Cricetulus griseus: one gene and its partner. The protein of the gene in region 1 interacts with the protein of each later gene in a pairwise test. Links are inferred from orthologs where the notes say so. Each region holds a gene or a part of one and is shown on either strand. Other genes may lie near its edges. The genes, in order: Chaf1a and Mbd1.

Region 1 (4,552 bases):
TTCATGGCTGGGGGTGTTGCTCATCTCTAGATGACACACAGGCACTCCCCTTAAACAGCCTGCAATGAATAGGCCGGCCCCACAACGAAGAATTATTTGGCTCAAAATGCCAACACTGAGCAATTCTACACTAGACTCGGTACCCTGCGTTGAGTTTCTCTGTGGGCCTTGCTCACAAACTGTTGTATTATGTCCCCTACTGGATGCCAGCACAGTGACCTGATCCATGCTGTACCCAGACTTCCCTCCTTTGCGCTTGAATACACTGGAAATTGATGAACAGTGAGCAAAAAGCAAGGGCATGAGTGAACACACAGAAGAGCCAATCATGAGGTGATGCTCGTCATCCCAGGACTGAGGAGGTAGAGGTAGGAGGGTTGCCTCAACTTCAAAGCCACTCTGGGCCACATAGAATTCTAGTTATGGTTAAACTGCCCAAAGCTACCTCAAAAAACACATGAACTGGTGAGAGAGTTCAGTGGGTAGGGGCGCTTTCCAAGCCTGGCAAGCTGAACTCAATCCCCAGGACCCATACAGGGGAAGGAGAGAATTAACTCCCACATGTCCTTTGACCTACACACACACACACACAGTGACTGTGGGGATAGACAGGGGATCAGCAATTAAAAGCACTTGCTGCTCTGGTCCCATCATCAGATTCAACAGCTCACAACTACAAGCCCAGCTCCAGGGGATCCGATGCCCTCTCTGGTCTCCATGGGTACCTATCTCACATGGACAGAGACATACAAAGATGCATAATATCAAGTAAATCTTTAAGTAAACCAACTTAAAAATTATTTTTCAAGCAAAGGCATCATAGTCTTAAACGGATGAATATATAAGTAAATGAAATGAATACATTTTGTGGCAGAAGCTGTAGTTATGTCAAGGCATAAGAAGGAACCTGGGTTGAGCTCAATGGGTAGCACACTGTCCTAACATGCAGGAAGCTCTGGGTTCCATCCACAGCCCTGCAGAAGCCAGGCAAGGTGACACTTGGAGGTAGAGGCCAGCCTAGGCTACACGGGACCTTGTTTTAAAAATAACTAAAAAATAAAAGACCCCAAGAGAGACTATTTCTCACTAAAATAAAAACCTCAGGAAGTATGTAAGCACACCAAAATCCATGCATGTAGAGCCATAAATAGAACTGTTTTTTTGTTTGTTTTGAGACAGTGGCTCTCTATGTAGCCCTGACTGTCCTGGAACTTAATAAATAGACCAGACTAGCTTACATACTCACAGAGATCCTCCTCCCTCCGTTCCCAAAGGCATGCACCGCCATGCCTGGCTCAGAACCTGTCTTTGAGTAAATGCCTTTAAACAGATGGCTCAGGTGTAGAAACTCCACCTGCGAGGCGATTTTTTAAGTGAACAAAAAACCCCTTCAGTAATATGGGGAGCATTCCCATACATTTTGCTATATGAAATTCAGACTCAACTCTGGACAACCTCAGCTGTCCAGAGTGGAGACAGCCTCGTCACCCCGGCTTAGACTCGGACTCCTACCTAGAACACCCATGCCCCTTTTCTCCTATTTGAATGGAAGAAAGGTAACATTGCCCTGTTTTCTACTGCCAAAAAATATGGGTTTTCCTGAAAGACATCCTTTCTTTAGAATTTTTATTACATTTTAATTAATTTGTTGTTGGGAAGGCTTGTGGGATTGATTCTCTCCTTCTACCTGTGATAGAATTCAGATGGTGAAAGGCCAGATCAACCTGGAGCTCATCATCCTCCTGCCTCAGCTTCTAAGATGCCGGAACTGCAGGTACAAATTACCACACCCATCTTGTCTTTATTACCAATAGTGTTGGTAAAAAAGTTCTGCCTTGGTTAAACAAAAACAATGCTCCATGATAGTCTAGGTAGTTTTATGAATGTTAGTTATGTCTTCATAAAATCTTAAGCCAGTCAGGACAACAGATCCAGCCTTGCTGGATCTTACTGGGCTGTGTGTGTGTTTGGGGGTGGGGGTGGCATATCTTTGGTGGTCAGAACCGTAGCAGAGGGCCGGAATTATCCCAGAAGTGGATGGAGATGGAGGACGCTGCTCTCTATCCCAGAAACTGCCTATCCACTAACGTCCAAGCTTTCAGACTGGTATAACATACTCAGAAGGGACCATCCTAAGTGCCCCAAGTGGTGCTCAATTGGTGAACTCTTAGTCCATCAGGATGCGACCCCCTCCAGTCTCAGGGTAGGACTCAGGGTAGGATTCCGTGCCAACTGCTGGGAGTACAATTCAGAGTCAAGCAGGGGGACTAGGCACCCCACATTTAGGGAAGCCTGCCTCATGCTACACAGAGTCCTGACACGTACCCCGCAGGGCTATATCACACTCACAAAAGCGAGCTTCCTGGTCATGCTTGCCAGGCAAAGTCTCCATCATCCTGGGCTTGCCCTGCCCGAGACAGCTGCGGGGTACTCTGGTGTCCAGAGCTCAAGTGACCACAGGCCTCAGTTTCCCCACCCACTGCAAAGGTCTGACTCACTCGAGAATTCGCAAATACATTTAATAATTTGCAAAAGTGACGCTACCCCCCTTCCCGGCCTCAGTTTCCCCACCTGCAACAAGAGGACACAGATGCATTCAGGACCCATCAAGGGCGACCCGGGGCCTGTTTCCCCATCAGCTACTAGGCCCTCGTTATTTGGGCTACACGGAACCTTCGGGAGCCTGCAAAGCTGACCCTTCCCCCTCCCCGGGGCCTCAGTTTCCCCTTTGCGAGCCCTCGCGTCTCCGCATCTCAGCCCCCAAGCACCGGGCGCGGACCCGGTCCTTCGGGCCGCAGCTTCACCCACCTACGGCTGGCGGCGTCGCGGCGTCCGGCTCCTCTAGCATCGCGGCGGCGACCCCGCTACGCTCTCCGCCTCCCGCCGGTGGCGCTACTGCTGCCGCCGCGGCCGCCGCGCTCGTATTTGGCGGGAACCGCGGCAACCACCGCGGCCCGTGCGCCGATTGGACGGGAGCCCGTCACGTGACAGCCCTGCCTCAGGAAAAGAGGGGCGCTCGGCGCGTCCTCGCGAGAACTGCGGGTCATACGCCCAAAAATCCCGCGGGAGGTGGAAGGAGGAGGACTCCTTTCCGGCGGTTCTTGAGTGGCTACGGAGCGGCACGTTTCTACTGGTAGGATGCAATGTCAATCTAAGAGCCCTCCCTTTTATTGGCTATTCGTGGGAGGAAGTGGGGCGGTTACGTCACGATCCGCGCCAGTGACAACTTGAAATTACTGATTAGAGGAGGAATCTGAAGTGAGTTTATCCTAATTAGTGATTGGTTCAAAGTAGCTACAGCAATTAAAACTGGGGATCACTTCCTTTCATTGTTAATTCACAAGTACTTCCTGTTTTAACTATAAATTACTTAAAAAAAATATGAGTTACTTTTCTGAAATGATGAACCGCTTTTTTAAAAATTACGATTTGCTTTATTTATAAGTAGAATTTTTTTGTTGTAAGATTATAAATTACTTTCAAAGTCGTTAATTACCTTTTTAGTGTGAATTACTTTGAAGATATATTAATTTAAAAAAATTGTTCATTGAGTTTGGTGGTGGGAGCTTTAAACCCTAGTACTTGGGAGGCAGAGGCAGGCAGATCTCTGTGACTTTGAAGACATCCAGGCCAGGTCTGCATAGCCAGTTCCAGGCCAGCCAGCGATACAATGTATCAAAACATTATTAATTGCCTTCTTTTTTTTCTTTCCTTTTTTTGAGACAGGATCTCACAATGCAGCCGTGCTGGCCTGGTACCCACCAACCAGTTTCTAAAATGTTTCATCTGTTAGGTGGAGAAAGAAACCTTTCCCTCCTTCATCTGCAAACAGCTCAATGCCCACAACAGTTCTTTTCTTGAAGTTGTGGCTAGTAAGTGGGTTCTTAATAGAATAACTGTATGAATTGCTTTTTGGCCATAAACTCAGTGAAAGTGTCAAGGATCTCATCAAACCTTTGACTTGCTGCGGAAGTATAATCAGATTGCACTGTGCAGATCTTCTTGTACACCTGTCAACCCTGCACTTGGGAGAGGAAGGCAGGAAGATCCAGAATTAAAGGCCAAGGCAGGTTGAAGTTGACACCAGCTTGGGCTCCATGAGACTCCATCTCAAAACCCATATAAAATAAAGAACATCCTTGTATCAACCTGTGGTGGCTAGCATGCTAGGAATCTGGCTGCAGTCTCCAGTTACACACACACACACACACACACACACACACACACACGTTTTTGAAACCAGACTTGTCGTCATAAGCCTGTCATTGCAGGAGCAGGAAGGTGAGGCAAGAGGATCAGGAATTGAAGACCAGCTTGTGCTATGTGGGATCCTGTCTCAAACAAAACCTATTCGTAATCCACCATGTACAAAGGCTCCTATAGTCATGAGCAATAAGGATGACATTCACATGTTCTTTTCATCTACCACACTGCATTCTGTTGAGTCACTGGGAACCTTCCAGAAATCTTGGCTTCATGGAATCACTTGTCAGCAATTTCAACACCAGATTTTTAAAATTCTTTACCCTAAACATTTTCCTGTTCCTGCTTT
Region 2 (3,808 bases), on another chromosome or scaffold:
CAAAGGCTGGGCCAGTGCTCATTCTGCTATTAAATTTACCACCATGGCTGCTGTTGCTTCCGCCTAATCTGGCTTTGCCTGCCTCATGTCATATTTTCTTTTCTGTCCCATGCTCACCTCCTTGGTTCTGCCTATCTGCCTTTCTCTGCCAGCACTTTGCTCATCGTTTCCGTGGCCACCCTCAAGGATGTCACCGGTGCCCTCCCCAGGTTGTGGTTTCCCCCACTGTGAGTGTCTGACTGCACACTCCACCTGACCAGTCAGTGCATGGCTCCTGCACTCCCCGGGGGTCCAGTGTCTACTTGGTACCACCAAGCCTTAGCTGGCTTTCGACTTCTAGGGTAAACATAACTGTCGTAAGAGTGGCTCGAAGGTGGCTGCCCAACATCACTCCCAAGCTCAGCCACGGCCTCCACTTCCTGCATCGAAGCACCCAAAGCCCACAGAGCTGGTAAGGCCCTGGTGGGCAGGGGGACGGCACAACCCTAAACTTACTCAGGACCTGCCCTGACCCCAGCACATTTGCCTCTGCAGCACATCAGCGACCTAGCGCCCACATCACCTGCTGAGCTCATCTATTACTGTGTAGACGAGGACGAGCTAGTGAGTGGCCCCACCTTACCTGGATAAACCTAGATGCCCCTGATGCTTCTGTAACCCCAAGGAAGCAGATGCTGTAATGGGACAAGTAGGGAGTAATAGTGCATACTAGGATGGATAAGCAATTACTGGGGAAGAAGGAGTTAGCAGTGCTGTGCTTACTGTCAGATGGACCAACATCAATGGCTGGTGCACGACAAACAGGCTGAATGGTGACATTCACAAAGGTGCAGGTAAATACGTTTGTATAGAGTAACTAGTCAACACAGCTGGCGGTGATGAGGACTAATTGAAGGTCAGCAGAGTCCTGGTGGAAGTGAGGGCCAAAAAAGACATTGTCTGGATAGCAGGTGCTCTAATAATACAGTAATGGTGCAGCCTCAGTCCTAATGGTCTTGGAGGCCAGCTGGCACAGTGATTGTGGCATAGTTTGAAATCTCAGATGCCGAGGAGAGGTTGTGGGCTGAGCCTCATGTGTAGCTAGCTCCTCATGGGGGCTAGAGGAACACCAGGAACTACTGAAATGGGTGTTGAGGACGGCCTCTCCTAGTCTTAGTGACAGTAGCACCATTCCCCTCCACCCCAGCAGCCCTACACGAATCACCGGCAGAACCGCAAGTGCGGGGCCTGTGCAGCCTGCCTACGGCGGATGGACTGTGGCCACTGCGATTTCTGCTGCGACAAGCCCAAATTCGGGGGCAGCAACCAGAAGCGCCAGAAGTGTCGTTGGCGCCAGTGCCTGCAATTTGCTATGGTGGGTGGGGCAGGAAGGGTTAGGTGGATGGGCTAGGTTGGGCCTGGCCCACCCCCGCGTTTGGGAGTGGTAGGCAGGCCTGGTAGATGGGTGGGTGGTGTATTGACTCCAGTTTAGGATTCACAGACAGTGTGTTGGGGTGAGTCCAGCTCTCCTGCCATTACTAACAGGAGATGGATTATCAGGCTCAGTGATGAGAGCTCATGTTAGCAGCAGGGTCTCTGCTGGGTCTGACAGGAAGTTAGCAGGCACATTGAGTAGGGCAGGGTGGGTAAGGTCATATGGCACCAGGTTGACCACAGCACTTAATCTTTTTCTCACAGAAGCGGCTGCTGCCCAGTACTGGGTCAGGGTCTGAGGAGGGAGCAGTGTCACCCCCACGTCATCCTTGTCGAAAGAGGCCTCGTTCTCGACAGCTCCATGTGAGCCCTTCCTCAAAGGCCCCTTTGGCTGTGCTTACAATCCCACCAGGCCCTGCCCAGGCTTCAGCCAAGCAGCAAGTAGGTAGAGACTCTGTGCTGCCCCCACCTGACACAGACCTTGTGTTTTTACGAGAAGGTGCCAGCAGTCCTTTGCAGGTGCCTGGCCCTGCTGCAGCTTCCTCAGAAGCCCCATTACAGGTAAGGATCTCTCCCCACTCTTCCAAGCTCCACCCAGCCTTGTGCCATGGAGCTGAGACCAAGTCTGTTGCCCTCTTTTCTTATGCAGGAGGCCCAGTGCTCTGCCCAGAGTTGGGCTGTGACCTTGCCTCAGGTGAAACAAGAGAAGGCCGATGCTCCAGAGGAGTGGACAGCAGGCACAGCCTTTCTGACTTCATCCACGTTGCAGCCTGGCTGCCCTAGCAATGTTGAGGAGGTAATGAGTGTCCTATGGGTGCCATACAAGTGGTCTGTAACCAGAATTATAGTGAGCCATGATGGTGGTACTGGGAATAGTGATGGTGTGCTGATGATGACCAGTCTGTTGAATTATCCAGCATATCTAGCAGGTGCTGTACTCTCCATAGGCAACTAAGTTTGCCTGCCATACTGCCCAGCTCACAGGAGACTGAAGATTGTTGAGGAATGGCAGAGAGATGGCATTTCTTAGTGATAAAAGTGAGGTCTATCTGCATAATGGGTTGGCTAATTAAAAAAAAAAAAACAAAAACAAAAACGAAAACCTTGCTTCAGGCTGACCCTGTCCTAACTACTGCCCTTCCTCATTCTCCTAGGCAGTAGACCCAGACCTTGTACCTGTGAAACAAGAGCCTGCTGGCCCTGAGGAGGATAGAGAAGAAAACAGACAAGATTTTGTCTCTGCATCAGCCCCAGAGGAGGAGACAGGAGGGGTTGGCACACCAGTGGTCAGTGCTGGGGGACGTTCCCACCCTGCCCTGATCTTGCTTTCTCTCCTCCTGTCATGCTGACCCATGATGTTAATTCTTTCCTAGATCACAGAGATTTTCAGCCTGGGTGGAACCCGCCTCCGGGATGCAGCAGCCTGGTTGCCAAGGTGCCCCATACAGTTAGGTGTGGGGATGGGGTGGGTGCCTGCCACATGTGGGCCCTTAGTTTTAAACCTAGGGTCAGCAATTTGATTGGGTGCAGAGGGACATAAAGGCCTGCAACCGTTCCACTGCACAAACAGTAAGGGGGTATTTTGTGCAGTACTGTGAAGATTTGCTCTTGAGATCCAGCCTGTTGGTATTCCAGGGCTCTCCTCTTGGGAAAGGAACAGAAGGACTGATGTGCCGTGATGAAATTGGAAAGAAAACAGATTAAGTGAGGCTGGTCCCCTTTTAAGGGTCAGACTTGACATAAGCATTCTTACTCAGAAGATCACCATTTATGGTCTTGAAGGCCTTAGAAGTCTCCATGAGCCCATTATTGGGTGAGCTGTCCCTGATGATGGGAAGAATGTGTGTCACACAGATGACATTGGACTTGCCCAAGCAGTGGAGTTAGGGGATTGGGCTTTAAGTGGCTCTGCAGGCTGAGTCTGTGTGTAGCTGTGTGATCTCAAGTGTGTCCCCCACTTCCTAGAGTAGCCTCTGTGGGAGATTTGGGCTGTGTGTCCCAAACCTTTCCTGTTGAGTTTACTGTTTCAGATACTGTAGAACTGACCCAGTTAAGTCTAGTAACAGAGGTGAGAAGAGATGCCATTGTGGTAGTGGAAGGAGGACCACCCCCAAGGTTAAAAAAAAAATCTCCTGGGCCAACCACCTGGGTGCCATTGCTCCCACACACTGGTTTTAATGGCTAGGAAACCTGATAGTGTAGGAGATGGAGATGACTGAGACCCTGCCTGGTGTAGAGCAGATGGGGACTTCCATTGGTGATGATACTGCAGCCTGTAAGGCTTACCCATGAGGAGATAGAGGATCCCTGGCTTCTAGGAGCTTATGATTTTCTGGAAATTGAAATTATTCTCTCTTAACAGAGAAGTGCTATACTGTTTACCTTGCTAGTCTAT

What was found.
Region 2: the proteins of Chaf1a (region 1) and Mbd1 interact in binary tests that used the Homo sapiens proteins (3 or more experiments, as listed by UniProt). The link is inferred for Cricetulus griseus from reciprocal best matches to the Homo sapiens genes CHAF1A and MBD1.

Annotation. Positions count from the first base shown.
Region 1 is NC_048598.1:97,507,785-97,512,336, forward strand, and holds the start of Chaf1a (chromatin assembly factor 1 subunit A), read right to left. Parts: upstream 2,967-4,552; 5' UTR 2,849-2,966; coding exon 2,809-2,848; intron 1-2,808. UniProt on the Homo sapiens protein: Acts as a component of the histone chaperone complex chromatin assembly factor 1 (CAF-1), which assembles histone octamers onto DNA during replication and repair.
Region 2 is NC_048595.1:165,541,316-165,545,123, reverse strand, and holds part of Mbd1 (methyl-CpG-binding domain protein 1), read left to right. Parts: intron 1-340; coding exon 341-451; intron 452-534; coding exon 535-603; intron 604-1,186; coding exon 1,187-1,354; intron 1,355-1,677; coding exon 1,678-1,974; intron 1,975-2,062; coding exon 2,063-2,209; intron 2,210-2,567; coding exon 2,568-2,699; intron 2,700-2,786; coding exon 2,787-2,860; intron 2,861-3,048; coding exon of another isoform or gene 3,049-3,082; exon of another isoform or gene 3,083-3,226; intron 3,227-3,808. UniProt on the Homo sapiens protein: Transcriptional repressor that binds CpG islands in promoters where the DNA is methylated at position 5 of cytosine within CpG dinucleotides. Binding is abolished by the presence of 7-mG that is produced by DNA damage by methylmethanesulfonate (MMS).